2 linked regions of the Sus scrofa genome follow. The protein of the gene in region 1 purifies or fractionates together with the protein of each later gene. This does not show direct contact. Links are inferred from orthologs where the notes say so. Each region holds a gene or a part of one and is shown on either strand. Other genes may lie near its edges.

Evidence for each region.
Region 2: the proteins of PINK1 (region 1) and VIM purify together in Homo sapiens (affinity purification with mass spectrometry; 3 studies listed by BioGRID and IntAct, with this or other methods). This does not show direct contact. The link is inferred for Sus scrofa from reciprocal best matches to the Homo sapiens genes PINK1 and VIM.

Annotation. Positions count from the first base shown.
Region 1 is NC_010448.4:78,854,692-78,869,850, forward strand, and holds the start of PINK1 (serine/threonine-protein kinase PINK1, mitochondrial), read left to right. Parts: upstream 1-8,503; 5' UTR 8,504-8,597; coding exon 8,598-8,993; intron 8,994-15,159. UniProt on the Homo sapiens protein: Serine/threonine-protein kinase which acts as a sensor of mitochondrial damage and protects against mitochondrial dysfunction during cellular stress.
Region 2 is NC_010452.4:43,508,203-43,523,231, reverse strand, and holds the start of VIM (vimentin), read right to left. Parts: upstream 6,792-15,029; 5' UTR 5,593-6,791; coding exon 5,030-5,592; intron 4,406-5,029; coding exon 4,345-4,405; intron 1,721-4,344; coding exon 1,625-1,720; intron 1,537-1,624; coding exon 1,375-1,536; intron 843-1,374; coding exon 717-842; intron 77-716; coding exon 1-76. UniProt on the Homo sapiens protein: Vimentins are class-III intermediate filaments found in various non-epithelial cells, especially mesenchymal cells. Vimentin is attached to the nucleus, endoplasmic reticulum, and mitochondria, either laterally or terminally.

The sequences.
Region 1 (15,159 bases):
CAGCAGCAACAGCTCCAATTGGACCCCTAGCCTGGGAACCGCCATATGCCGCGGGTGCGGCCCTAGAAAGACAAAAGTCAAAAAAAAAAAAAAAAAAAAAAGATAGGACACTTGTGAAAGATGCAAGCGGGCAGGTAAGGAGGCTCTGCCAGCTATTACTTTCCAGTGATGTGTGTGTGTGCATGTGTGTGAGTATGTGTTAGAGAAACGAGAGGGAGGTGGTCAGCGTTGTGCCTTAAATAGCTCAGTTTGCCACATCAGGAGCGATATTAGGGATCTGGCAGAAACCTTAGAAGAAAGAGCTAAAAGAGTAAAATATCACACCTCTGGGCTTCAAGGGAGCTGAAACAGGAGACCCTTGCATGATGAGCTCCTCTCTATATACTGTTAGTGGGTGTTTTCGGGTTTTTTTTGGTCTTTTTGCCATTTCTTGGGCTGCTCCCGTGGCATATGAAGGTTCCCAGGCTAAGGGTCGAATCGGAGCTGCAGCCAGCAGCCTACACCAGAGCCATAGCAACGCCAGATCCAAGCCGCATCTTCGACCCACACCACAGCTCAGGGCAACGCTGGATCCTTAACCCACTGAGCAAGGGCAGGGATCGAACCCGCAACCTCATGGTTCCTAGTCGGATTCGTTAACCACTGAGCCATGACGGGAACTCCCTGATAGTGTTTTATAAACCATGTATACGTATTCCTTGTATTTATAAGATTTAATTTTTAAAAATAGAAAGAATAAAAGAAGCTGTAGAAAGGAAGTTCATTGAGCAATAACAAATTCTAGAGAGCAAAGCAGTAGCTGATTCTGCTGGGGGTTGGGGGTGAGCTAATTGACATTCCTGTTGTTTCCCTCACTTACCCAGGGGAGGAAGAGTGAATCAGGTGGTTCGGAGTTTGAAAGGATAGCCCAGCCCCTTTCTCCCTTCACCTGCCTGGGAGTGAGCCTGCCCCCTGAGGGCTTGTGTTCCCAGATGGTTCTCAAACAAGGGCTGGCAATCTAGCAGCACCCCCCTCCCCCGCCCCCGGCTGGATGCTAGAGGATCTAAGTTTTAAAAATCACAATCCCGGAGTTCCCATCGTGGCTCAGAGGTTAGCAAACCCAACTAGCATCCATGAGGACCTGGATTCGATCCCTGGACTCTGCTAGGTGGGTTAAGGATCCTGCGTTACCGTGAGCTGTGGTGTAGGTTGCAGACGCGGCTCAGATCCCGAGTTGCTGTGGCTCTGGTATAGGCCAAGGGCTACAGCTCTGATTGGACCCCTAGCCTGGGAACCTCCATATGCCATGGGTGCAGCCCTAAAAAGACAAAAAGACCAAAAAAAAAAAAAAAAATATATATATATATATATCTCACAATCCCTTCCTTACAGAACTCGAGTTTAGAGGAAGAGATAGAGAAGGGGTATCTAGCCCAGTCTAGGAAAGGTCAAAGAAGGCTTCCAGGAGGAGGAGACCTCCGGTATGAACAGAGATTCTTTAAAAGAGGTAAATTAAGACAGATGGATCAGCATGATGCTTGGGGCAGCTGCGAGTCATTTGCTATCACTGGGCCACAAGGGACAGGAAAGGGGGACAGCAAGAAAGATGCTAGGGGACATTCCCATTGCAGCCCAACTAGTATCCATGAGGACGCTGGTTCAATTACTGGCTTTGCTCAGTGGGTTAAGGATCTGGCATTGCTGTGGCTGTGGCGTAAGCCAGCAGTTGCAGCTCCAATTCAACCCCTAGCCCAGGAACTTCCATATGCCAAGGGTGTGGCTCTAAAAAGCAAAAAAAAAAAAAAAAAAAAAAAAAAAGAAGGAAGGGAGGAAGAAAGGGAGAAAGTAAGAAAGGGCCAAAGGGCAAAGGACCTTCTCTGCCAGAGCAGTGGGCAAGGACGAAGAGCCTGTGAAGGATTTAAAGCAGCAGGTGACATGGCCATGTTTGTACTTTTAATAATCACTGCAGGGCAGCCAATTAATGGGACTGCAGAAACCACAGACTGTCTGAATGTCTCAACCACACACCTCCACAATCCATCAGCACATTTTCATCCATCTCACCCAGGCAAAGCAGAGACACTTTTTTCCAGTGAAATCTCACTCTCTGCCCACTGATGTCTGATTCTAACCCCCAAAAACTACAGCTCAGGGGTGCCAAGTAGCTGGGTTTTGATCTGGCAGCAGCTTTGCTCTGTCAACAGTTTTAGCAAAAAAAAAAAAAAAAAAAAAAAAAACCCTTCCACTCTGCTGGCAATTTAGAGAGAGCGTTTCTGAAATGGTCTGTGGATAAAGGATGTTGCTGCCCTGGGAAAATATGCCTGTTTCCTGCCAGGAGGAGACAAAGACCATTGAAATGGGGCCAAAGGACGTCGTCTGCAAGGGAAGGTCAAACAGCCCTCAACAGTTCTCTTTCTTTAAAGTCTTGTCTTTTTCCATTAGCATCAGCTCCCCCCCACCCCACGTCCTTTGGGGGAAGGGTAAATGATGCTTCTTAGGAATATTATGCCCTTTATCAGAACTATGCAGTCTTGCTGCCTGGAGGGAAAAGAGAACAAGGAACACCCAGGATGGAGTTCCCATCATGGCTCAGTGGTTAACGAATCTGACTAGCAACCATGAAGACATAGGTTCGATTCCTGGTCTTGATCAATGCGTTAAGGATCTGGTGTGGCTGTGAGCTGTGGTATAGGTCAGATCCTGTGTGGCTGTGGCTGTGGCGTAGGCCAGCAGCTACAGCATCCGATGATGCCGCTTGTATGGCCTTAAAAAAGAAAAAAAAAAAAAAAAAGAGCCAGGATGCCCCCAGAGCAGAATGTGTGTTAGAGAAGAATCCTCTGGTCTCTCTGGCACCCCTCTCCATTCTCCTCCAACCTCTGTGCCTGAGCATATCAAAGCCTGCTTGCTACATAAATAAACCTGCTTGGTTTAATATTCTCTGAATGAATGAGACTCGTAGAATATTAAATCTGCAGTAAAAAGATAGCTTGGCGGAAAGTCATATACTGTATTCCTGACTTCACCTGCGTGAGACACCACTAAAGAGACAGATGTTAGGAGAACGTCAGGATGATTCCCTGGAGACCTGAGCCATGGCGCCACCATGGGAAGACTTCTTCTCAGGAGAACAGAGGGGGACAATGGAATCGGGGCCCTGATCCCTACAAAAGGCAGGCCCTGTGCCCTGCACAGTCAGGCTGGATCTCTGCCCTGGGAAGGGAGAACACAGAAGTCTGTGATCTCTGCTGGGAGCTTCTCTGTGTAGACATTCACCTGCTTGCCCTTTCCATGACAGAGGTCTGCTGAAGAATCGAGCTTCATGCTGGGTCTGCTTCAGCACTTAGATTTTTCTACAGAAGGAGAAGTGAAAGAGTCCAGTGCTCTCGGCTGAACAAGAAATAGCACGGTCCACCAGACAGGGTTAATTAACATCAGTCTGGAGATTTCATTCTGCAGGTGGGGAAGCTAAGCATCACAGGTCCAGCGAGTTTATCTGCAGCATAGCGGAACAAATCCAAGGCTGATAACAAGCGCATTCTTTAACCCAAAAAACCGATGCGCCGTCCTTTGAGCGAGCACCGCTCACAAGCTGCATGGTCATCACAAGCCTCCTGGTAAAAGGTTACATTCCTAGGAGGGTAAAGCAAATCCTTTTAGTTAAAATATTAAATATCAGAGAACCTCTTGTTCCTTCTCAGTAAACATGAAAGAGCTGAAATGATAATGACACACAGCAGATGGGTAGATTTAAACTTTAAATAAGACCTTTGCCCCAGCTGACTAAGCTTCCGTGGGTGAGCCTGTGGTCCCTGGAGTGTGAAGTTTCCCCCACCTTCTCTTCCTTACCTTTCTCCAAAGGGCAGTTTCAATGGAGCATTTTTAAATTGTAATTTAAAATTCTCTGAAACTGATCCAAAAAAAAAAAAAAAGGATAATATCTGATATCCATGTGCCCCTATAAAGAAATTGGAGAGAAACTCATCTATTAATCTATGTCTCTTCCAAATAAATTGCATGTGACGAGGGCCATGCTTTTTCTCTCCCACAGGAGAGATCAGGATACACACACTGCTGAAACAGTTGGCCACCTGTCCCTAGCCAGGGGTCCACCTCATGGCCAAGCATGCCTGGGGCCAGAACCCTTCAGATGGTTGAAGATCCCTCCAGCAACAGCTACTATTAACATGTCCCTTAATTTCATATTTAAGCAGGAAGGAAGGGAGGTGGAGCCTTTTGCTTGTTCTCTTTTGATGTCCTGGCTTTTCCATCACACCGACATCAGAAGAATTAAAGTGAAGATGCTCCCTAATGTCGGTTGGTCCTAAACAGTGGAAAGTGCCATCGTCTGTTCATTCAGGAACAGGCTGGCTGAGACATGTGCAAAGCAAAGTTCAACTCAACGTCTGTGATACAACGAAGCTCGCATTAAAATGTTTTTTTGTTTTTGTTTTTTTCTTTTTGCCATTTCTTGGGCCACTCCCACGGCATGTGGAGGTTCTCAGGTTAGGAGTCTAGTTGGAGCTGTAGCCGCCAGAGCCACAGCAACGCAGGATCTGAGCCGCGTCTGCAACCTACACCACAGCTCGAGACAACGCCAGATCGTTAACCCACTGAGCAAGGGCAGGGACGAACCCGCAACCTCATGGTTCCTAGTCAGATTCGTTAACCACTGCGCCATGATGGGAACTCCCCTATTAAAATGCTTTTATTGTTTGAAACCACGAAATTCAAAGATGATTAAACTCTGTGAACTTTCACACACTATTCAAACAAAGTTCATTTTTCAAAAAAATTGAGACCATGAATGAGTTAGATAGAACTTTTTTGGGGTAAGTGTGTATCCAAAATCCTTTATTTTATTGTTTTTAGTTTGTTCCACTGTTTCTTTCTTTGTATCTATTTTTAAACAATATTATTGAACCCCTAGCTGTGGTGTAGGCTGATGGCTACAGCTCCGATTCGACCCCTATCCTGGGAACCTCCATATGCCACGGGAGCAGCCCAAGAAATGGCAAAAAGACAAAAAAAAAAAAAAAAGAATTTTACTGAAGTATGATTACAATATAATATATGGTAAGGTGTACAACAGTGACTCACAAATTTTAAAGGTTATACTCCATTTATAATTATTACAAACTATTGGCTATATTAACTCTGTTATACACTATATACTTTGTGCTTATTTATTTTATTTATTTATTTTGGTCTTTCTGCCATTTCTTGGGCTGCTCCCTCAGCAAATGTAGGTTCCCAGGCTAGGGGTCCAATCCGAGCTGTGGCCACCGGCCTACACCAGAGTCACAGCAATGCAGGATCTGAGCCGTGTCTGCGACCTACACCACAACTCACAGCAACGCCAGATCGTTAACCCACTGAGCAAGGGCAGGGACTGAACCCACAACCTCATGGTTCCTAGTCGGATTCGTTAACCACTGAGACATGACAGGAACTCCTGTGATTATTCATTTTATACAAAATAGTTTGTACCTCAATCCCCCTAAGTGTCCATCGATATATGAAAGGATAAAGAAGATGTGGTATATGTGTATATATACACACACATATATATAAATAGACACACACAATGCAGTACTACTCCGCTGTAAAAAAAAAATTAATGAAATTTTGCCATTTACAACAACATGGATGGACTTGAAGGCTATTATGCTAGGCGAAATGAATCAGAGAAAGACAAATACTCTATGACCTCTCTCTCTTTTTTTTTTTTTTTTTTTTTGCTTTTTAGGGCCATACCCGAGGCACATGGAGGTTCCCAGGCTAGGGGTCAAATCGGAGCTGTAGCCGCTGGCCTACACACCAAAGCAACAGCAATGCCAGATCCAAGCCGAGTCTGTGAATTGCACCACAGCTCACTGAAAGACCAGATCCTTAACCCACTGAGCGAGACAAGAGATCAAACCCGAAATATCATGGTTCCTAGTTGGATTCATTTCCGCTGAACCACGATGGGAACTCCTCTAAGATCTCATTTTTATGTGGAATCTAAAAAATAAAGCAAACTAGTGAATATAACAAAAAAGAAACAGAACTCACAGATACAGAAAACAAACTAGTGGTTACCAGTGGGGAGGGTTCCCTGGTGATAAAATAGACTGAATTTTTCTTTTCTTTTTTTTTTTAGCACCACACCCACGGCATATGGAAGTTCTCAGGCTAGGGGTTGAATCAGAGCTATAGCTGCCAGCCTATGCCACAGCCACAACACCAGATCTGAGCTGCATCTGTGATCTACACCACAGCTCAGAGCAACACCGGATCCTTAACCAAATGTGAGAGGCCAGGGATGGAAACTCACATCCTCAGGGATCCTAGTCCTGTTCGTTACCACTGAGCCACAATGGGAACTCCCTGAATTTTTCAGAAAGGCTTTCATTATGTTAAAAAAGCATTAAGTAAAATGTTTACCTAAATACTACACACAGAAAAATGCACAAATCAAAATGTACTTTTAGGAGAATTTTCATCACATAAACGGATCAGGAAACAACGTCCCAGGACTCTATAGTTGTAGACACTCTCATGGCTGTTTAGTATTCCATTGGGTGAATATACCACAATTTTCCAGTCTACTATAGAGATGGCCATTTGAGTTGTTTCCAGTTTTACACTATGTGGAATAGTCTTGCTATAAACATTCTCGGGTAAATTACATATGCTTTTCTAGGGGTCTATACCTAGGAGTAACATTACCAGCTTCTCATTCAATGTATATACTGGTTTCTTTCTTTTTCTTTTTTGGCTACACCCACAGCATGCAACTTTCCCCGGGCCAGGGATCAAACCCACGCCACAGCAGTGACAGCGCCGGATCCTCAAAATGTTGAGTCACTAGGAAGTATTCCTATACTGGTTTTGACATGTTTAAACTCACTGGAGTTTCCATCGTGGCTCAGTGGTTAACGAATCTGACTAGGAACCATGAGGTTGTGGGTTCGATCCCTGGCCTTGCTCAGTGGATTAAGGATCGGGTGCTGCCATGAGCTGGGTGTAGGTCGCACACTCGGTTCAGATTCCACGTTGCTTTGGCAGTGGCGTAGACCAGCAGCTACAGCTTAGATTAGACCCTGATCCTGGGAACCTCCATGTGGTTCGGGTGCAGCCCTAGAAAAGACAAAAAGACCAAAAAAAAAAAAAATTTCACCAATTCAAAGTGGATCTTTCTGCAGTTGCCTTGTTTTTATTCCTATTTACTCTCATTCTTTCTTACAACTTTACAGCCCAGAAACAGGGCTGTGCTAAAGGTCGCAAATGAGTCCTGAAATAAATAGGTTAGACTGTGTCTTTCTATTCAAGAAATGCTGAGGTGGGTCTCAGGCTAGACGAAGGTCCCCTTGCCCTGAAGGTCATCTGTGACACATGGCCATACCTTCAAAAACATTTTAACATCTCTTCCAGGGCCTCTTACCCACAACCAGCCTTAAGGGTAAGGAGATTGGAGGTACTCATGATTACAGGAACGTTTTTTTAAATGGCAGCACCACAAAATATACCTCCTTAGCCTGGGGAAGGCTTGGTTCCTTGTTAAAGAATAACCCACTGACCAAATAAATCATGTAGATCTTGTCTGGATCCCAATTTGAACAACTGTAAAATAAAACAACAGGGAAATCTGAATATTGATTGGATAGTAAATGATATTGTGAAGTTAATGGTAATATTTTTAGAGGTGACAATATCATTTATGTTTTGTAAAAAAATAGTTCTCTCTCAATAGATATTTAAGTATTTATAAATGAAATGATATGATATATGGGATTTGCTTTAAAGATGGGAGAATGGAAAGTAGGAAGATATGCACAGGTGACTAAATAATGACTATTTGTTGATAATTGTTGAAACTGGATAATTGGGTACATGGGGTTCACTATAGTTTTCCATTATTGTATTTGTAAATTCTCTTTTTAAAAAAGGCAAGAGAAAGAAAGAAAAATCACTCAGTACAAATTCCTTATCAGCCATTCCAACAGCAGCTTTGGGTAACAAGGCTCTACCACCAACATGCTGTGTGACTTTGTGAGTTGATCCACATCTCAGGGACTCTGTTCACTAATCTGAAAAAAGTGGCCTAAGGGTGAGATTTCTCTCCGGGGCCTGTGGGCTTGTTGAGACGAGTGGAAGGGCATCAGGGGCAAGGACTCAGCAATCAGGGCAATGCAAACTTTAACCTCAGCTCTGATACTGCATATGACCTTGGACTGTCACTGCCCTGTTTTTTTCTTTTTCCTCAGTTTTCTTATCTATAAAAACGACCTTCCTATCTCATTGGTAGGAAAATTAACAAACGTAGATTCTGGCACCGTCGGTAAGGGGTAATAATTATTCATTTCTCTTCTCAATTTCTCGATTTTGCCCAGAACCAAGGATGTTGACAGGATCTCCCTGACAATGCAATCTTTAGATCCTGGGTGCAAGAGCAAGAAACTACCCGCCGCGCAGATGCGCGAACAGCGCCCTCGTGCGCGCACAGCGGAGAAACAGCCAGAGAGGCGGCCCCGCCCATTGGCGCCCGCGCCTGCGCAAAGGCGCCGACCCGAAGTTTGTTGTTGTGACAGGCGTCCCGGCCTCCTGCGGCTCGGAGGAGACCCAGCCGCGGCACCATGGTGGTGCGACAGGCTCTGGGCCGGGGCCTGCAGCTAGGCCGAGCGCTGCTGCTGCGCTTCACAGCCAAGCCTGGCCCGACCTATGCCTGGGGGCGGCCCGAACGCCCGGGCCCAGCGGCGGGCTGGGGCCGCGGAGAGCGCCCTGGCCCTGCCGCGGGACCCGGAGCGGAGCCGCGCAGGCTCGCGCTCGGGCTCCCCGGCCGCTACCGCTTCTTCCGCCAGTCAGTGGCCGGGCTGGCGGCGCGGCTCCAGCGACAGTTCGTAGTGCGGGCCCGGGGCGGCGCGGGCCCTTGCGGCCGGGCTGTCTTTCTGGCCTTCGGGCTGGGGCTGGGCCTCATTGAGGAGAAGCAAGCGGAGGGTCGGCGGGCGGCCTCCGCCTGTCATGAGATCCAGGTGAGCGCCGGCCGCGGGCGGGGGTCGGAGCGGGAGCGGGAGTCGGGCTGCGGGCGGGGCTAAGTGTGTGGGCGGGTCTTGGGTGGGTGTGGGGTGGGGCTAAGTGTGGGCGTGGTGAAGGCGGAGCTGGGAGGCATTAACTGATTTGGGGCCCTGGGTCAGGGTTTACCTTTGTCCGAGCTGGAAATTCCTTGACATCACTGATTAAGGCTCATTTTCGATGTCACTGATCTCCTGACCTGGGGCTTAACAGCTCACTTTTTACTGTTTTCCCTTCCTTCAAACAGCATATTTTGGAAGTTATGTTAATAACCACTCATGTTGCACCTTGGCCAATAACTTTCTGTAAATTTTCAGAAATTTAAGGACAACTAAGACATAATACTTATATTCCTGTGGTTGGTTGTCATCCCTAATTTATGGATGAGGAAACACACTCAGAGAAGTGAAAGGTGGTGTAAATTGCTGAAAGTCACACAGCTCATAAAGGGCAGTGCCCCAAGTCTGATTTTACAAAGCCTGTGCCGTTAACCACTGCTCCAGCCAGGCTCCTTCCACAGTTTAGCCAAATCAGAAGTGACACAGTGACTGATATTAATGACAGATCTGAAGCTTCAGCAAAAACCAAGAACAGCAAGAGAAGATAGCAGACCTGCTTTATTTTTATTCAATGAATTTCATTGTATTTATAGTTGTGCAACCATAATTACAGCCTAATTTTATTTATTTATTTGTAAAGCAAAAGCGTTTATTAAGGCGTCAGAGGGTGGCTGAGCTCAAGATGGCACCAGCCCTGACTGTGAGGAGGTGCTAGGCTTATAAAGAATCTGTCACAGCCTAATTTTACATTGCCATCCCAAACCCCCAGCGTATCCCCCCCCCCCAACCTGTCTCCTCTGGTCCCCGTAAGTCTTTCAAAGTCTGAGTCAGTTTCTGTTCTGCAAATAAGTTCATAATATCCTTTTTTAGATTCCACCTATAAGTGATAGCTATGATGTTTGTGTCTCACTGTCTGACTACCTTCACTTAACATGATAATTTCCAGGTCCATGCATGTTGCTGCAAATGCCGTCATTCCATTCGTTTCTATGGCTGAGTAATATTCCATTGGGTATATGTACCACATCTTCTTTATCCACTCCATCAACAGAGGGATGGACATTTAGGTTGCTTCTGTGTCTTGGCTGTTGTATATAGTGCTGCAGTGTACATTGGGGTACATGTATCTTTTTAAATCATGGTTTTCTCTGATGTGGGATTGCTTGATCATATGGTAATTCTATTGTTAGTTTTTTGAGGACTCTCCATGCTATTTTCCATAGTGGTTGCACCACTTTACACACCCACCAACAGACTAAAAGGGTTCTCTTTTCCCTTTGCTCCGCACCCTCTCCAGCATTTATTGTTTGTAGCCTTTTTGTTGTTGTTGCTTTTTAGGGCCGTTCTCATGGCATATGGAAGTTCCCTGGCGAGGGGCTGGATCAGAGCTGTAGCCACTGGCCTACGCCAAAGCCACAGCAATGCCAGATCTGAGCCGTGTCTTCCACTTACACCATAGCTCACGGCAACGCTGGATCCTTAACCCACTGAGCAAGGCCAGGGATCGAACCTGTGTTCTCATGGATACTAGTCAGATTTGTTTCCGCTGAGCCACGATAGGAACTCCCCTCATAGTGTGGGTTTTTTTTTGTTTTTTGGTTTTTTGTCTTTTTGCCTTTTCTAGGGCCGCTCCCGCAGCATATGGGGGTTCCCAGGCTAGGGGTCTAATCGGAGCTGTAGCTGCCAGCCTACACCACAGCTACAGCTATGCCAGATCTGAGCTGTGTCTGCGACCTACACCACAGCTCACGGCAATGCTGGATCCTTAACCCACTGAGCAAGGTAAGGGATTGAACCCGAAACCTCATGGTTCCTAGTTGGATTTGTTAACCACTGAGCCACGACGGGAACTCCCTCATAGCAGGTTTTTTTGTTTGTTTGTTTTTGAAAGTTGAGAATTAAATTTTATTTGAGACAAAATTAGGACTTAAGCCCAAGAGACAGCATCTCAGGTAGCCCTGAGAAACCACTCCCCCCCATAGTAGTTTTGATTTGCCTTTCTCTAATAGTGATGTTGAACATCTTTTCATGTGATTTTTGGCCATCTCTAAGTCTTCTTTGGAAAATTGTCTGTTTAGATCTTCTGCCCGTTTTTTGATGGCTTTTTCTTTCTTTTTTTTTTTTTTTTTTTTGGTATTAAGCTGCAGGAGGTGTTTATATACTTTGGAGCTTAATCCCTTGTCAGTCACTTCATTTGCAGAAATTTTCTCCCATTCTGTGAGTTGTCTTCATTTGGTTTAGGGTTTCCTTTGTTGTGCAAAAACCTTTTAAGTTTAATTAGTCCCATTTGTTTATTTATTTTTTTTTACTGTCATTACTCCAGGAGGTGGATCTGAGAAGATATTGCTATAGTTTATGTCAGAAAGTCGTGGGCCTATGTTTTCCTCTAGGAGTTTTACAATATCCAGTCTTATATTTAGGTCTTTAACCCCCAGATCCTTAACCCCCCAAGCAGGGCCAGGATTGAACCTGTATCCTCATGGATACTAGTCGGGTTTGTTGTCACTGAGCCACAAAGGGAACTCCTAATTCTGGGCTTCCTATCCTGTTCCACTGATCTGTATTTCTGTTTTTTTGTGCCAGTACCGTACTATTTTGATGACTGTAGCTTTGTAGTAGTCTGGAGTCAGGGAGCCTGACTCCTCCAGCCCCATTTTTCTTTCTCAGGATTGCTTTGACTAAGCAGACCTAGGTTTTTAGTTAATCTGTATAATTATCAGGGATGACTAGATACATAGGGTTCTAAGGCTTTTTAAATGTTTGAAATAGCTCAGAGAATTCTGTTTCTACTCAACCAAAATCAGAGTTCTCCAGAGAAACAGAACCAATAGGATGTGTTTATAAAAAGAGATTTATCCTAAGAATAGGCACCGAAGTTCAGGAAGGAGGCTGCCAAGTCCTCAGTCTGCAGAGTGGGCCAGCAGGCTGGTGATCCAGGCAAGAACCATTGTTGATGTCAAGTCTGAAGGCCGTATGCTGGCAGAATTCCCTCTTCTTCCAGGGAGGTCATTCTTATGGAATGACCTTAATGGAAGGTAGGGTGACTTGCCCAAGGGTATGGCTGGTTGAAGAGCAAGCAGTGTCTTCCATGTGTTCTGGTTTTCAGCCCAGTTCAGTTACTCATCACCAGAGTGTCTCATGTTTGCGCTCTGGCCCGTTTGGGGTGACAGGTGACATCTGACCTAGTCCCCAGCCTCTGTCCTTGTCTTTTTTTACAGCCCAACTGGCAGAAGCCAAGGATGGCCAACTTGACAAATATGGAGGCTTTTTTATTTTTTGTATTTTTATTTATTTATTTATTTATTTATTTTGACCTTTTAGGGCCGCACCCACGGCATATGGAGGTTCCCAGGCTAGGAGTCCAATTGGAGCTGCAGCTGCCGGCCTACACCACAGCCACAGCAACACCAGATCCAAGCTGCATCGGTGACCTACACCACAGCTCACAGCAACACCGGATCCTTAACCCACTGAGCAAGGCCGGGGATCAAACCCCCAACCTCATGGTTCCTAGTGAGATTCGTTTCCACTGCACCACAGTGGGGACTCCTATGGAGGCTTTTTTTAAAACTGAGGCGCTTGATCCTCCATCTCCACATCCTTTTCTCACACCTCACCCTCCTGTGTCTTAACATTTTTAATTAGTTGCCAATTAATTTTATTTTTATATGACTTTTATTTCCTGTTATAGTTGATTTACAGTGTTCTGTTAATTTTTACTGCACAGCCAAATGACCCAGTCATACATATCTATACATATTCTTTTCCTCACATTATCCTCCATCATGTTCCATCACAAGTGACCAGATACAGTTCCCTGTGCTATATATAGCAGGATCTCGTGCCAATTAATTTTAAAAATTCAAGCATTTGACTTCTTATTGAAAAAAAAAAAACACCAGATCTGGCAACTCTAATGCTAAAATTCCATGTGGTATCATACTGGAGTATAATAGTGATCACTCTATTTCTCATTTGGAAAAAAACCCTTTATAATATAGGCAAAAGACATGAATATGTATTTCACCAAGAGGAGTTGCAGGTGCCAAACAAGAATATGAAAAGATGTTTAACACCACTAGCCATTAGGGAAATGCAAATAAAAAATGCAATGTGATATCTCTGCATACTTATTAGAAGAGATAAAATTTTTTATTTTTTTATTTTTTGCTTTGTAGGGCTGCACCTGCAGCATATGGAGGTTCCCAGGCTTGGGGTCTAATCGGAGCTACAGCTGCTGGCCTGCACCACAGCCACAGCAATGCGGGATCCTTAATGCACCAAGTGAAGCCAGGGATCAAACCCGCAACCTCATGGTTCCTAGTCAGACTTGTTTCCACTGTACCACAACGGGAACTCCTAGAACAGACAAAAATTTTAAAGTAGTAATAATACCAAATGTTTGAGAGGATGCAGAGAAACTGGACTGATAGTGAAAATATAAAATGGTACAGCCATTCTGGAAAATAGTTGGCAGGAGTTTCTGCTGTGGTACAGCAGTTTGGGGATCTGGCATTGCCACAGCTGTGGCGTGGGTCACAGCTGTGGCTCACATTCCTGGCCTGGGAACTTCCATGTACCATGAGTGTAGCCAAAAAAAAAAAAAAAGTTGGCAGTTTCTTACAAAACTAAACATTCATTTATCATATGACCCAGCCATTGCCATCTCAGGCATTTACCCAGGGAAATGAAAACTTACGTTCAACAAAAACCTGCATACGGAGTTTCCGTCGTGGCGCAGTGGTTATCGAATCCAACTAGGAACCATGAGGTTGCGGGTTCGATCCCTGGCCTTGCTCAGTGGGTTAAGGATCCGGTGTTGCCGTGAGCTGTGGTGTAGGTCGCAGACGCGGCGTGGACCCTCCGTTGCTGTGGCTGTGGCGTAGGCTGGTGGCTACAGCTCTGATTCAACCCCTAGCCTGGGAACCTCCATATGCCGCGGGAGCAGCCCAAGAAATGACAAAAAGACAAAAAAAAAACCTGCATACAAGTAGCTGCTGTGGACAACAGTATGACAGTTCTCCCCCACATTAAAAATAGAATTATCATATGATCCAGCAATTCCACTTCCAGGTATATATCCAAAAGGATTGAAAGCAGAGACTTGAACAGATGTTTGTACACGTGTCCACAGCAGGATTATTCACAACAGTCAAAAGGTGAACACCCAAGTGTCCATCAGTGGTGAAAAATAAGCCAAATGTGCTATGTACATACAGTGGAATAATATTCAGCCTTAAAAAGAAAGGAAATTGACTGCAGTGGCTCACGTCACTGCTGTGGCACGGGTTTGGTCCCTGACCCAGGAACTTCCACATGCCATGGGCACAGTCAAAAAAAAAAAAAAGAAAAGAAACTCTGACACATGCTACAGCATGGGGGAAACTTGAAGATGTTATTCTAAGGGAACTAAGCCAGTCACAAAAAGACAAATCTGTATGATTCCACTCGCATGAGGTGCTTAGTCAAATTCACAGAGACATTAAGTGAATGGAGGCTGTTGGGCTGGGGAAGGATGGGTATTAATACAGAATTTCAGTTTTGCAAGATGAAAAAAGTTCTAGAGCTGAACGCTGGTGATGGTTATACAACAGCCTGAAGGCACTTAATGTCACTGAACTGTACACTTAAAATGGTTACAAGGGGAGTTCCCGTCCTGGCTCAGTGGTAATAAACTTGACTAGTATCCATGAGGACGCAGGTTCGAACCCTGGCCTTGCTCAGTGGGTTAAGGATCTGGTGTAACTGGGAGCTGTGGTGTAGGTCGCAGATGTGGCTCGGATCCTGTGTTGCTGTGGCTGTGGTGTAGGCTGGCGGCTGTAGCTCCAATCCGACCCCTAGCCTGGAAACCTCCATATGCCTCGGATGTGGCCCTGAAAAGACCAAAAAAAAAAAAAAAAAAAAAAAAGGTTAAAAGGGCCAATTTTGTTGTGTATATTTTACCACAGTTCTTAAGAATAATTTTTAAACTCTGTACATGAATGTTCATGGCTGCATCATTCATAATAACAAAATATTGAAAACCTAAACATCCTTCAGCAGGTGCATTGTTGGGCTGGCATAGCCA
Region 2 (15,029 bases), on another chromosome or scaffold:
TAGTGTCTTGGTAGTTAGCAGCTTCCACGGCAAAGTTCTCTTCCATTTCCCGCATCTGGCGTTCCAGAGACTCGTTCTGCAGATGAGAAAGGCTGCCAGTGTTATTTCCCCAGGGGCATAAAAAAACCAGCCATTCCCTCAACCATTTCTAGACCATGTGCAAATGGGACCCCGGCAGCAAATGGGAAATACTCCAATTTTAGGCAGAAAATCTAAGTACCAAATCCTCTTCCTAGCGGAAGCCATAATGTATGTAAACTAAAACCTCTGGATTTCCAAATTCTTTTCATTTTTTATTTATTTACTTTTTGGCTGTGCCCGTGGCATAGAGAAGTTCCCAGGCCAGGGACTGAACCCAAGCCATGGCAGTGACAATGCAGGATCCTTAACCTGCTGAGCCACCAGGGAACTCCCTCCATATATATATATTTTGGCCATGCCTGTGGTATATGGAAGTTCCCGGGCCAGGAAGCAAACCCTTGCCACAGCAGAGACCTGAGCTGCTGCAATGACCATGCTAGATCCTTAACCCTCTGAGCCCATACAGGAAGTCCCCAAATTCTTTTAAAATCTGTCTTGATGACTCATTTTCTTTAGATTACAGTGTAAGTGTTTCTTCCTGTGAATGACATTTTCTTCCACAGCACCCTTGGCTTGGCTACAGGAATGGACCCAAGCTGGTGATCTGCCCCCTTTTCTCGCCAGGTGATACTCACGGTCCCCTTGAGCGCATCCACTTCACAGGTGAGAGACTGCACCTGTCTCCGGTACTCATTTGACTCCTGCTTGGCCTGGCGCAGGGCATCGTTGTTGCGGTTAGCAGCCTCGGAGAGGTCGGCAAACTGTCGGGAAGAAAAGCAGAAACCCTGGTCACCCAGGAGCTTCAGCCAACAGATCCTCTCAGAGACTTCCTGGCCTGGACAGATGAGAAAGCTTCAAGGTGGCAGACAGACAGCTACAAAAATAAGGCCCGATACCAACCCAATTTTTTACACATCGTTCATATCTCAGCGCCTTCCAAGAATCTGTCTCCATGTCTGTTTGGGACACCGGAGCAAAGGAGGTGGAAAGCTGATGTCGAGATTTTCAAGCAGAAATTCACTGTTTCCCTCCTCGTCAAAGGGCGGAGGTTAAGGGCATAGTATTGGGGTTTACTTGGATGTAGGGGGACAGAGGGGCAGTGCAAAGAGAGTCTGTTCTTCTAAGGGAGGGGGCATGAGTGATGGGAGGATATAGTAAGAAGTAAAACTTGAACAAGAGGTAAAGCCAGCTCAACGTGGGAGCTAAGAGGTATTTAGGAATCACAGCCAGGTGCAGCGTTTTTCAGAACAAAATGCTTTTCTTTGGTTCTGGCCACTCTTGCCCGCTTCATACCTTGGACTTGTACCACTCCTCCGCCTCCTGAAGGTTCTTGGCGGCCACGCTCTCATACTGCTGGCGGACATCACGCAGGGCAGCCGTGAGGTCAGGCTTGGAAACATCCATATCGATTTGGACGTGCTGTTCCTGGATCTGAGCCTGCAGCTCCTGGATTTCCTGAAGAAGGAAAAGACAGAAGGTCGGCCGTGCCCAGTGTGGGTGCAGCTTCACCCACCTCCATCCACCACCCAGGCTCGCCTCTGACCTCATCGTGCAGTTTCTTCAAAAAGGCAATCTCTTCTTGCAAGGATTCCACTTTGCGCTCCAGGTCAAGACGTGCCAAAGAAGCATTGTCGACATCCTGTTTGGAAAAGAGAAAAAGGTAAGATGCGGACGAGGATGCTAATGTCTATGGGCTTCTCCCATTTAGTCTTTTTAAATATCTTTGCACTTACATCTCTGCTGTGAAAAGGGTGTTGACAGATACTGTGACCTTCAAATAAGTTTGGAAATCTCCTAAATACCATGCTAACAGATTTGAAGGGTGACCCACTGAGTTGTACTCAAGGTAGCTAATAACAGACAATTTAAAAATAAATGAGTGTATGCCAACATGGTAAACTCCCCTCAATTTCGTATCAGTGTATTGTATCAGTGAAGGTTTTTAATTACTTTTTTTTTAATCTAGAAAATCAATGCTATGGCATTGTCAAGTTTTTTAAGGGGTAACATCATGGAATATAATAGGACAATGGGAGTTGATCAGATGTCACCTTTTTTTTTTAATGGCTGCACCCATGGCGTATGGAAGTTCCTGGGCCAGGGACTGAATCTGAACTGCAGCTGTGGCAGTGCCAGATCCTTTAACCCATTGTATCAGGTCGGGGATGGAACCTGAGCCTCTACAGCGACCCAAGCTGCTGTAGTCAGCTTCTTTACCCACTGCACCACAGAGGGAACTCCAGATTTCACAACTTATGTATACATGAGTATATAAGAAGTTTCAGCAGATAATACTTAAGTTCTTTTTTTTTCCCCCTCTACTTATATCTTCTGAAACGTATCCTTAAGATCCAAAGCAAGCTTATAGTCATCTGGCATTCAAACTGCAAGGCTCAATTTATACTTCAGTTCAGGATGTATACTGGCAAAAATGCAGTTCAGGAAACTGAAGCAAAGAAATGTCACTCTGAACTGTATTTGCTTTGCTTTTTCTGGTAGATTTTTCTATAGAAACTCACCCCTCTCATCTCAGAAGGGCGTGTCTATCCTTTTCACTTAGCACCGGTGTCAGTTCTCTTACTAAGCTTGTTTCAGAATGACTGGTCAAAATGCATACAGTGTAACTGTATGTAAAATTCTTGCTCCTCTCGTCTGCTTCTGTGTTTCCACCACTTGTAAACTGCTACATCCTTGGAAGATTTTATTTCCCCCTGGCAAGGGAATGTCATCAGGATTTTTATGCCTCTTATCTTGTAAGCAATTATATTTGAAGCATGGTTTACAGCCTGACAGTTTTAAAATGTTGACCTACTTCTATCATCTTCGTGGAAAAGTGAATAAGGAATAGATGATTGTAAAAAGATCCAGCTTGGGGAAAAAATTCATTTTTACTTGTTAAGCCCTACGAAAGATGTACAGGAAAATTTACTACTCTTCATTTAAAAGAAAGAAAAAAAAAAGGTCAGTCCTTCATTCTACTACTTTGAATAGAACATGAGTGGTTTTACCTAATCCCTAAGTAGGAGGGACAAGTTATACTAATACTGTTTTATATTAAGTTCCTACTCAGCAGAAAACATTGCAGATATGGTGATCAGAAATGCTTCATGACTTAGAATACACCACATATTTGTGTTTAAATTAATTTGGCAAATGTACTTCGGCTTCAAAATATTACTCGACTGTTCATCTGAGGAAGCTTTTATAACCAATCCCAGTAAGTGTTCAGGAGAATGAAATTATGCTGGGAACACTCCCTGCTTTGGGATTCCAGATGAAGTTAAAAATCCTTGAAGGCCTCCTATCTTTGAAGCAAGAAAACCCTTTACTGAAAATTCCATTCTTCGTTCTCAGGTTTCTTCTTTCTTTATGGAAAAAATATTAAAGAACACAAGGATCCAATAAAGAAAGACCTTTCCAAATGTGGGGTATTACGACTGTAGCTTTAAGGACTTTCCACGTCTAGCACTTCACGAGTCTGAGCCAGATATTAGATAACGGATGTTAGCAAATACTTGTGTCCAATTAGAACTCTGCTTACATCATTACATACTCAATAAGAATGTAGCCTGTTGCAAAGAGTCTCTGGGAACACAAAGACTCCTATTATTCCTGTCCAGAGCCACCACACTTGCCAGAATGTCTGTATCTACATTCCATAGTGAAGCCCATAGAAACCATTAATACCTTTCAGCCAAGGGGACAGATGGCTCCTTTTCACCCTTATTAGATCACAAAATAGTTGTGCACACGGATACTTCCATCTAACCTTAGGCCACAATAGAACTTGCATGGAAGAAAAGAAACTTGCTGGCTTAAGTCCAGTTAAACCAAGTTTCTAATTCTCCAATACATTGTACACTTGAAACTAACGGGGCAGAACTCCGCTTTGTGTGGCCCTGTAAAAGTTAGCTAGCTTGACTTTGGCAAACCGAAGTCTGAATCAAACTGTAACTGTTCGAGATCAGAGTATCAGTGTGTTGCAGAACCGAAACGGGAAAAAAAAAGTCATGTCTTGGGGGAAAAAAATCTTGAAACAAAGTCAAAAAGACTTTATTCACGTCCTATGGAAGGAACGGTTTAATCGTTCGAGGGTTTTTAAGGCGGAGAAGCTCCCAACTGTGGTCTTTCTGCCACTAGGGGGCTTGGCGAGCAGACGAGAAGTTTTGCACGATTTAGACTTGGGTTAAGTAACTTTGAGAACTGCCCGTAGGTTGGGTGGGTGGGGTCGGGTGGCTGCAAGTGGGAAGAGAATCTACAAACCTGTCTGAAAGACTGCAAAGTGCTCTCGGCTTCCTCCCTCTGAAGCGTCTCCTCCTGCAACCTGAAAGAGATGCACATCAACCGAAGGGGAACTGGGAAACCGCCAGGGGCGTGGCGACCACACCCAACCACCACGTCTTCGCCGCGAGACAGCCGAGTTGCTGCGCCACCTCTGTGGCAGTCGGCGACTATGGCTTTTAGAACTGCTGCCTTTGGCAAATCTCAAAGGGACCCTGGCCGCTGCGTAAAAAGCAATCGCAGTTGCTACAATGACCTGGGAGGCGAATGCCACCACCCCACTCCCCCGTGAAGATTCTGCAATCCCTTTGTCTCGCTTCCTACACCGCTCCTGGGGAAAGAGCAGCCCGTCAGAGGGGACCAGGAAACTTTCTCAAAGTTTGGGGGAATCGCACTGATCGTTTGCAGGAGCCTTCGAGTAACAACAAAGTGGTAGTTTTAAGAAATCTGAATTTTGGTCGTTCTTGGGCAATGAGTCGGGGTAGAGGGTAAATGCTAACTTGCAAGATCTGGGTTCAGGGCAGGGCTGCGCCGCAGCAGCCACAGCGCTCTCCCCCCGCCCACCGCGTACCCCAGGCAGCCACCGCCCCAGCCACATCCCCAAGGGCGTGTTAGCTTCGGTTCCCCTCTGCCGCCCTCCTGAAGCCCCGCGGGCGCTTAGTCTTACTTCTCCCGCAGCCGCATGATGTCCTCGGCCAGATTGTCGCGCTCCACCTCGACGCGGGCCTTGTCGTTGGTGAGCTGGTCCACCTGCCGGCGCAGCTCTCGCATCTCCTCCTCGTAGAGGTCCCCCAGGCGCGACTTGCCCTGGCCCTTGAGTTGCTCGAGCTCGGCTAGCAGAATCTTGTTCTGCTGCTCCAGGAAGCGCACCTTGTCGATGTAGTTGGCGAAGCGGTCATTCAGCTCCTGCAGCTCCACCTTCTCGTTGGTGCGGGTGTTCTTGAACTCGGTGTTGATGGCGTCGGCCAGCGAGAAGTCCACCGCGTCCTGCAGCAGCCGCACGCCGGGCACACTGCTCCGCAGGCGCACGGCCGAGGAGCGCGTGGCGTACACGCCGCCCGGGGACGAGGTGTAGAGGCTGCGGCTGGTGCTGGGACGCAGCGCGCTGCCCAGGCTGTAGGTACGGGTGGACGTGGTCACGTAGCTCCGGCTGGAGCTCGGCCGGCTAGCGGTGCCAGGGCCGCCGAACATTCTGCGGTAGGAGGACGAGGACACGGTCCTGGTGGACATGGCTGCAGAGGTGGCAGTGGGCTGGGCGGCTGCGGTGGCGCGGACTGGCTCCGGGAGGAGAGGCGAGCGAGGGAGCGGTGGGTGTGGGCAAAGGGAGCGCTGCTGCGTCTCTGGCGCGGGGACCCCGGAGCAAGAGTGGCAGAGGACGGGACCCCGCCGAGGGCGCAGTTTTTATAACCGCCTTAGGATGGAGCGTTCCCTCCCACTGCCATCCCGGCGGCGGAGTGCGCCAGCCAATGGGGACCCGGCGAGAGGCGGGAAGGCTGGCCTGGGGTTTGGGGCGGGGGAGCCCGGGAGCCTCCCTCCTCCCCCCTCCTCCGCAACCGGGACTATGCTCAGTCCCCCAGTAACTTGGAGGCTGAACTGGAACTTTTGGGGCTTTCCTGAGGATGGCCTGAGGTGTGCTCACCTCTGGGTGATGAAAAAGGCTGGGTCCCGCGGTGATGGGGGAGCCCTCCCTAGACTGAACCACAAGGGTCCCGGGCACCCAGCCAGCTAGGGAGGCGTAGGAGGAAGCGTGCGGGTGGGAGGGGCGCGCGGCCCCTTGGCTGCGGTCGCCTGGAAGCGCGAGGGTGGGGGGGCCCCGCGGGTAAAGGAGCCGGAAGAGAGGAGTGAGGGATCCAGCAGATCGGAAGGCGTGGAGAAAGAAACAAAGAGGGCCTGAGATTGGAGCGCGAGGTGGGGGCGCGCACAGCCCGGGGCGCAGGGCTCTGGGCTCTGCGCAGCCTTGCGCACGCCTGCTTGGACAGCGGGACCAATCCGGCCCCAACTTTCCTCGTCCTCCTGTAGTAGGAGTTCCTGTTCAGGGACCTAACCGGCTGGGCCCGGCTTTGGACAAGGAGCTGCAAGGAAGTGGCCAAGGAAAGCCCAGGGGAGATGGGTGGGGTCGCTGAGTCACCACTGGCAGTGAGTCACTGCGCTCTGCTGTCCCGCCACCGAGGTTGAGGAGTCCTAGCGGTTCAGGAAAACCGTTAGACGAGATTGACTTTCGTCTCCCCGGGCCACTGTGCGAGTACTGTTGGTTCTAAGTTTTACCCAACTTCGAGCTGGGCTCTGCTTTCTTATGTGCCGTTCGCTGGTTTGGAGTCTAGAGCGCTCCTAAATTCTTAGGAACGCGCCCAATCCAGATTTTGCTCCAATATGCTGGCTTCTCTTTAGTAAGAAACTTCCGCGGAGGCTCTGTAACCGCCAAACGCCGGTCTCCGGCCTCACAAAGGCACTTGGGGAGGGTTTTTCTTGCAAAGTTTCCTCCCGCCTCCCCTCCGGTCTCCTCTCCGCCTTCCTCCACCCCCTCCCCCCGTAAAACCGCACCCGACTTTTAACAAGATCTGAACGTTTCTGGGTGAAAGAGGAAACTCTGTAGTTGCAAAATCCAATTGAGTGATCACTGCTTTTTCTGCTGTAGTGAGAGACATTAAAGATATAATCTACACCAATTATAGAATTAAGTAGATGTTGCTTTAAATGTTTAATTTGATTAATAAAAGGCAGTTATGTAACTCAAGGGACTGAATGTTTGAGACTAGATTTATGTGTTCATTTTAGTTCACGCATGATGCACAGCGCAGGATTCTGGTGACTTGTCTGAGAAATGTCACAGGTCCCTTAGCCTATTTTCCAGAAGAATTCCTGCAATTCATCTTGGAGTGAGGGGGATAAAGCTGTCTACAGAAGGAGAAAACTTTTGGTCCAGGGCACAAGGGCGTGTTCAGATTCCAACCTGAAAATCTTTCTAGGTAAATCACTCAACTGAAGGGGTTTTGTTGGGAATGAGTAAAGCGCAGAACAGAGAAGAGAGTCTGTCAGTGATTTCGTAGCAATTTAAAAATCACAGGTTTTCGTCGTTATTGTTGTGGTGTTTCAGTGTTTAGAAGAGTTGAGTATTGAACGGATTAACTCCAAAATCACTGCAAAAGTAGAAACATCTTGATTCAGTGGTGGATGTGGAGGGAGATAAAATTCTTCCCTCTGCTTTTGTGTTTTTGTTTTGGAAAGGGGGGCCCTGAAGGTTGCCTGGCATTTAAGAAAAAATAGTTCAGAACCAAATGAAGGGTTTATTTTCACTTCTTTGTACAAGCCTCTTTTAGGCAGTGTTTTGTTTACCTCCTTTCAGTTCGTTCTGGCCGGTGGGGCTGCCAAGGTCGCGCTGCAGGACCCCTTGCTGTACCGCTCCCCCGCTGTGGATTGCCTTAATTCTCTCCCCGCTCTGCGGGTCCCTCCCGAGGCGCATTCCTGGGGTGTGGCGTCCTAGCGGGCCCACTTATGCTCTGAGAGCCCTTTATGCGAGCTCCGCTCTGCAAATGTCACTATTGTGAGTTTGCCTGGAACCCTTCGGATGAGAAAAAGCCGTTTCCCTCTGGGGAAAGGGAGGGTGGACCTTCCTCCCACCTAAAATGCTGATCCCAGGACAATGCGCTGGTGCTGTCAGGGGACGCTTGCTGACTGAGTCACCACGGGGAAATGAGGGCAAGGCTCTGGTGCGGTGTGGCAGGGTGCCCTGTTGGTGACCAAAGCACATTCCTCAGGTCTGTGGGTGACTCCCTCTGGGGGGGACGCTGGGGCCTCATCATCATCTCGGGGGGTATCCCTTCTCCTTTGCAACCTGTCCCCAAGCTGTATCCTTAGGATGGGTGTGTGTGTGCTTGCTGTCTCAGCTCAGGCTGCTACAACAAATTGCCATAGGCTGGGTGGCTTAAGCACCAAACATTTATTTCTCCCAGCTGTGGGGGCAGGAAGTCCAAGATCAAGGTGCCAGCTGACCTGGGGTCTGCTGAGAGTCTGTTTGGTAGTTTGCAGGTGGCCACCTTTTGCTGTGTCCTCATGTGGCAAAAAAGAGGGCAAAAGCTCTGATCACTTCCTTTTCTTATAAGGACACTAATCCTGTCCTAAGGGCCCCACCCTCATGACCTCAACTAAAACCTAATTACCTTCCAAAGGCCCCACCTATAAGTGTCAGCATATTGGAGATTAGGGCTCTAATGTATAGATTGTAGGGATAGACACCAGCATTCAATCCGTAGTACTTGCCATACAGCGCGCACATGCACACACACACACACACACACACACACACATGCACACACATGAACATACACCCGAGAACATACACACACACGAACATGCACACACAACACGTACATGCACAGACACAAAGATATGCAGATCTGGTGTGTCTTTTCCTATTAGAAACTGTCATAGCTTGGGGTAGACTGTAGCGCATAGAAAAGTGAAGGTTACAAAAACACATTTACTCATTCATGTAGAATGCATGAGACTTTGGAAAGAATTTGTTTCATTCTGATACATTAGGCACTGCCCAGCTGGGTGCCTCAACCAAGAGAGGTTAGTCATCAATGAACAAAATCAATACATCTGAACTCCCATCCTTGAGCAGCCCTGCTCTCTGCGTGCCACATGTTCTTAGCTACCTTTTGGAAATAAACATAGACAGAGCTTTCTTGGTTTTCATATTTATTTTTTGATCGCTGTGAAAACCTATCTCTGGAGTATTTTTGAACGCTGGGCTCTGAAGCATCTTTAAGCACCACATGCTGCAAGTTGTGTATAAATAAGGACACGGTGTGACCATTTGTAGGCCAGGCGTAAACATTACCAAATCTAAAGTACTAACAGTGATTTTGGAATTTGCAAGCTGTGGTGATGTCAGTTGAATTGGGCGATTGGAACTGACGGACCAGCCAGCCATGTGGAGAGGGGCTTAGTGGCCTGTGGAGGCTTTAGGGGAGCTGGCTGGCAAGAGGTTGTGCCAAGAGGACAGCTTCTAGCTGGATCGCCTGGATGGAATGTTAGCAATGAGAAGGTGGATAAAGTGAGAGTGTGAAAGTCACGGTAAAATCTGAAAACTGTGATATAAAAGATGATCATGATCAGTAATACAGCAAGTGCTTGAATTTTTGTGCCTACTGGATGAATGACATGAATTTTGTATTTTTTTTTTTTTTTTTTTTTTTTTTTTTTTTTTAGGGCTGCACCTTTGGCATGTGGAAATTCCCAGGTTAGGGGTCAAATCAGAGCTACACTGCAGCCATGGTTACATGGGATCTGAGCATCATCTAAGACCTATACTGGAACTTGTAGCACCTCTGAATCCTTAACTCACTGAGTGAGGCCAGGGACCAAACCTGCATCCTCATGGATACCGGCTGGGTTCTTAACCCAATGAGCCTTAGTGGGAACTCCTGTATATATTTATTGTAACTGCATGAGAGGCTGGCCTCCTGCGAGATAGTTTAGATCATCTCTTTTAAAGACTAGGCAATTGAGACACAGGCCAAAAATCTGCTTGTGACCATATAATCATCAGTGGAGGGACGAAGGGGGCAAGCATTTGACCTGAGCCCTTTTGATTCCAAATATACCTGAAATTTTGCTTGCTATTCACCAGTATAATTCAAAAATATTATTGAGGGGCAAACTGTGATTTAGGAGCTGAAGAGATAGGGTAACTAGGCAGATTACATTATGAAGGTGCAGACTCCTAAAGGAATTTGACAAATACTTGAGAGTATCATGTTTTATGTCACTCAAATGATGTAACAGTGATGCATAATAGATAAGAGGAGAGTTTGGTTTTCACATAACTCTAAAGCCTTACTTTGAGAATTCAAGAATTTCCACCTAGATTCCTTTCTGCCCTTTCAAAGGCATCCTATCCAAAGTCCTATTGGAAGTTGGGCTCAGCTCATCTCACACCCTAAAACCCCACCAACCATAGCAGCTTCCCCTCCTCACTTCCCTGTCTATTTAAGGTAACTTAGCCAACTATCAAGATTGGAAACTTTCATCATTTTTGCCACTTCCTTACCCTTGGATTGCTCAGACCCCATGGGTGTCCTGTCCATTGCTTTCTGCACCCACTCATCTGTTATGTTGCTGTGACTCACCTCGAAGCCATTTTCTGCCCCATCCGTGCAGTATTGCATTTGGCTTCCCTTCCTCCAGGCTCTGCTTACCCCCACCAATGTGTCTGACTTTCAGCCTAAACCTCTTTTTCCTTAGTAATTGCATGCCTAAAACTCCCTAAAGATCCAAAGTGGATCCCTCATTCCCTTGTTAGCTCCAGGAGGGTAGAGACTTTTCTCTTTCATTCCCTGTCCTATCTCCAGTGCCTACAGAGAAACCTAGCACATTTGCAGAATGTATGAACTACTGCATGAGTAGTTCATAAAAGGGGGAGGGAGGGAGGAAGGAAGGGAAGGTGGGAAGGAAGAAAGAAGGTAAGAAGGAAGGAAGAAAAGGAGGGCAGGAAAGAGGAGGCTAATATTTACTAGTGTCTATTCTGTTCAAGCCGTGTGCTAGTCATTTTACCCATTTGACGTCCTCTAATCTTTACAGCATCTTATGATGCACAGCTTTCATTAACTCACTCAAAACACGTGTATCAAATGTTTACCATGTTCCAGACACTCTGCTGACAGTGGGGAACCACGAATAAGGCAGGTATAATCCATGTACTCTTGGGACCTAGGGCTGAGTCTGTGTTTGACTGTGTGTGGTACAGAGGGATAGTACCTATGTAAAGGGACAAACCAAACAATTAAAATTTGTAATAAAGATGATGAAGGCAAGAGAAATTTTGCTTTAGAGGAAGTTGGGGGTCACATCACAACAGTGGCTTTTGAAAGCCAGGCTAAATATGGCTAGCCCTTCTCAGTCTCTGTTGCTCCCCACTGGACAGCAGTTTCATTGGGTCCCTAAGCTCCTCACTGTCCCAGTGAATATGCTTGTTTGCCCCACCTTCCTGTCTTTCTTCATAGTCCATTCAATGGACAGATGTACCTGTTTTCTACACTGCCTGCAATGCTTTCTAGTATGTCCAGATGAGTTAAGAAACTTTTCATGCCTCTAGGGAGCTCATAGCCTTGAAAAGGATTAGGAACCATGTAAAAAGGCTGTCATGCATAGCAGAGTGGGGTGAGTGGGTGCTCTGCTGGAGATGTGAAGGAAATGCCGAGGGGTTTAGATGGAGAAATGCTCATGCCCACTGTGGGAGGGGGAAAGATGAGAAAATGTGTTCAGCGAAGGTGGTATTTGAGGAATTTGGAGGAGTGAGTACCATTTCTGCAGCTTATCATGGCAGAGAAAGGATGCTCAAAGTTGATGAGACAGTATAAGCAAGAATAGTACAGGTATAGGAGTTCTGGGACATTTAAGTTATAGCAAGAATTCCAGTGTGGCTGATTATGGATCAGTTACAGGGGAGAAAGGAAATTGAAAGCTAATATGGGAGCTTGCGTTGGAGGACTAAATGCTAGGGAGAGGAGTTTATAATTAATGTGGTGGGCAGTGGGAATTCACTGCAATTTTCGATGAGGAGAAAGACAGGCTTGTAGCTGTGTTTTAGGAAGATTGTTCTAGCATGTTGGGGAGGATGAATTGGGAACACTGATCTGAAAGCTCTTTGCCACAGATCATGTGAATGAATGGCTTTAAAAGCCTGATCTTGGGGGCTACAGTGATGAAGATGAGAGTACTGTTAGACCATGAAGTTAGGGGACAAGCATGTCAAGGGCTCTGAGCTTTCTGGAGAGATTAACTAAGAGAGCTGATGCAATGTAAATGGGAAACAATTTTTTAGGTGGAACATTAACCTGAGTTGAAAGATAAATCATTCAACTTCATACCTGGAAATATCCTCCCTTCTTTTTTTATGAAGTAAAACCTTATGAAGTAGGTGGAGTATAATGTGAGTCCTGCAGTTTTGCTCCTTAGAAATCTCAGTCTGTTCACATAATTTTTGTTTCTTTTTATGGCTGCACCCGTGGCATATGGAAGTTCCCAGGCTAGAGGTCCAATCAGAGCTGCAGCTGCAGCCTGTGTCACAACCAGGGTAATACTGGATCCGAGCTGCATCTGACCTATGCATCAGCTTGCAGCAATGTCAGATCCTTAACCCACTGAGTGAGGCCAGGGATCGAATCTGCATCTCACAGAGACAACATAGAGTCCTTAACCCCCTGAGCCACAACAGGAACTCCTGTTTATGGAACTTAATACTGATTGCCTCAGATTGTTCCTTATGTGATTTAAATGTGTCAGTCTTGTTTCCTCAGTTGGTCCAAAATCAGGGATTTCTTCAGTATCCTCTAAATCAGTTTGGAAAACATGTTCATGCCCATCATTTCTGTGTCTCTAAAAAAAAAAAAAAAAAAAAAAAGGTTCAGAGACAAAGAAGCTTTAAGACAAACTTCTAGAATTTTCTTTGAACCTTTTTGGGGGGAAAGCAGATGATAGTTTCCCATAAAACTGTATCACAATAAAGGTATTGTGGAATTTGAGCTTCATATCAATTAAATAGACTTTTTTCCTATCACAAAATATGAAAACTGTTCTGTAACAATATTGTAAGTCATTCATCTGAACACTCTAGAGCTTTAGGAGATTAGACATATATATGTATATAATTTATAATTTCATCCAAGTCTAATGCACCATCTCTGACTAAGGAAAGAGAAGGTGGTGAGGATGGGAAGTAACATACAGTGGGAAACCTAGTGCAAAAAAACCCAATTCGGGTCGATGTTAGACAAAGACGTGAAGCTAGGTTCTCCGCATTGGTTCTCTTGATCCCCAAAGCAAGACCAGCCCAGCCCAGTCATAAAAGCTGGACCTTGTATGACAGAGAGCTAAGTGATACCATCCCGATTTAGTTATTGGCCGAGACGCTAAGAAAACAAGCACAGGTTTTGCCCTCTGTCTTATGATGTTGTTTTTACCATTTTCCAGGATAGAGGACAAAGTCATGCCAGTGCTAGAAAGTCTGCCAAGTGCTTTGGCATCCTGGGAATTTACTCCGCTTATTTTGAGGAGGTCATCAAGTTCCCAAGGGATAGACCTTTTATTTTTTTTTCAGAAGATATTTAGGTAATGGGTCTAATAATAATCACCTTGTTAAATAGCATTCTTTCCTCTGAAAGAACAGAATAATTTTTTTTTTTTTTGGTCTTTTTGCCTTTTCTAGGGCCGCTCCCACAGCATATGAAGGTTCCCAAGCTAGGGGTCTAATCCGAGCTGCAGCCACCAGCCTACACCACAGCCACAGCAACACCAGATCCGAACCATGTCTGCAACCTGCACCACAGCTCACAGCAATGCCGGATCCTTAACCCACTGAGCAAGGCCAGGGATCAAACCTATGTCCTCATGGTTCCTCGTCGGATTTGTTAACCATTGAGCCACGACGGGAACTCCCAGAAGAATTTTTTGAAAGAAATTTTTGACGTCTTTATGGTAATCTATGAAACTGGGAAGGGACTATTGACTATGTTATAGCCGTATCTCTTTTCTGTATATTTGGGGAATATAAAAGAAGTCTATCCCACTTATCTTGAAATGGACTAATGAGTTGACACATCTTTGCAAAAATCTTGATAAGCTTTATCTCTGCCATATCATGTTCATTTAGCCAGTGAAATGATTTCCTTTGGAATCTTGAGGATTCGATCGAGTTTTGACTATATTTGGTAAACTCAGAGTTTAAAATATACCCCCATCAAACTTTGGTCTCTGCATATTTGTGACAAAGATCAACATGATGAACAGGGGTTAGAAATGAAAATCAAAAACATTATGCTGAGGGGGAAAAGCCCAATACAAAAGATACAAAACTATATTCTCCTAATTATGAAAAAAAGACAAAGTGTTAAAAAAATAATAAACACATAAAGTAAACCTAAATGAGGCAATGTAGCAAATGGAAGGAGATATAAGACAGTATAATGATAAAATGAAGCAAAGCAAAAGGATTAGGAAAATTCATTAAAATGATAAGAACTAAGAAAAGCAAGACCATTCTGAGTTAACTGTAGCAGAATAAAGGGATTGGCAGCCCTCTCCATAATTCTGCTGCAGTGGTTTCTAAAATCTGGAGTAAGGCTGTGTATTTCTAATTAGCTAAGTACTAGAAATATGCCCTCTAATGGGACTCATATGGCTGTGTGGGATCACTATAAAAATATCATGGCATTTGCCCTTAATGTGGATTAAATATACTTTTCATATCACAAATCATGAAAAATTGTTCTCAAACAACACTGTAATTTATTTATCTGTCATCTCTCGAACTTTAGGGGTTTAGACATGTGTGCACAGAATGCAGGGCAGTGATATTTGCATGCCTCAATCAGGGTTTCTCTTTTGCTGACTTTGGGTTGGTTTTCACAGTCCTCGGTTAGAAAACTCTAAACAGTGATCATGATAACCAGGCATAACTTGGACGTCATTTCTAGAATTAGAGTCTGGTCCAAATGGGAAAGTTCATGGTAATCATGGTAACTTATATATATCAAGTACCTCCTAGTTGCCATGTGTTAACGTATTTAACCCGCACAATAGCCCTACTTGACCTATGAAGAAACTGAGGCACAGAGAAGTTAAGTAACTTGCTTGGTGTCACACAGCCGGGAAGTGGCAGACCT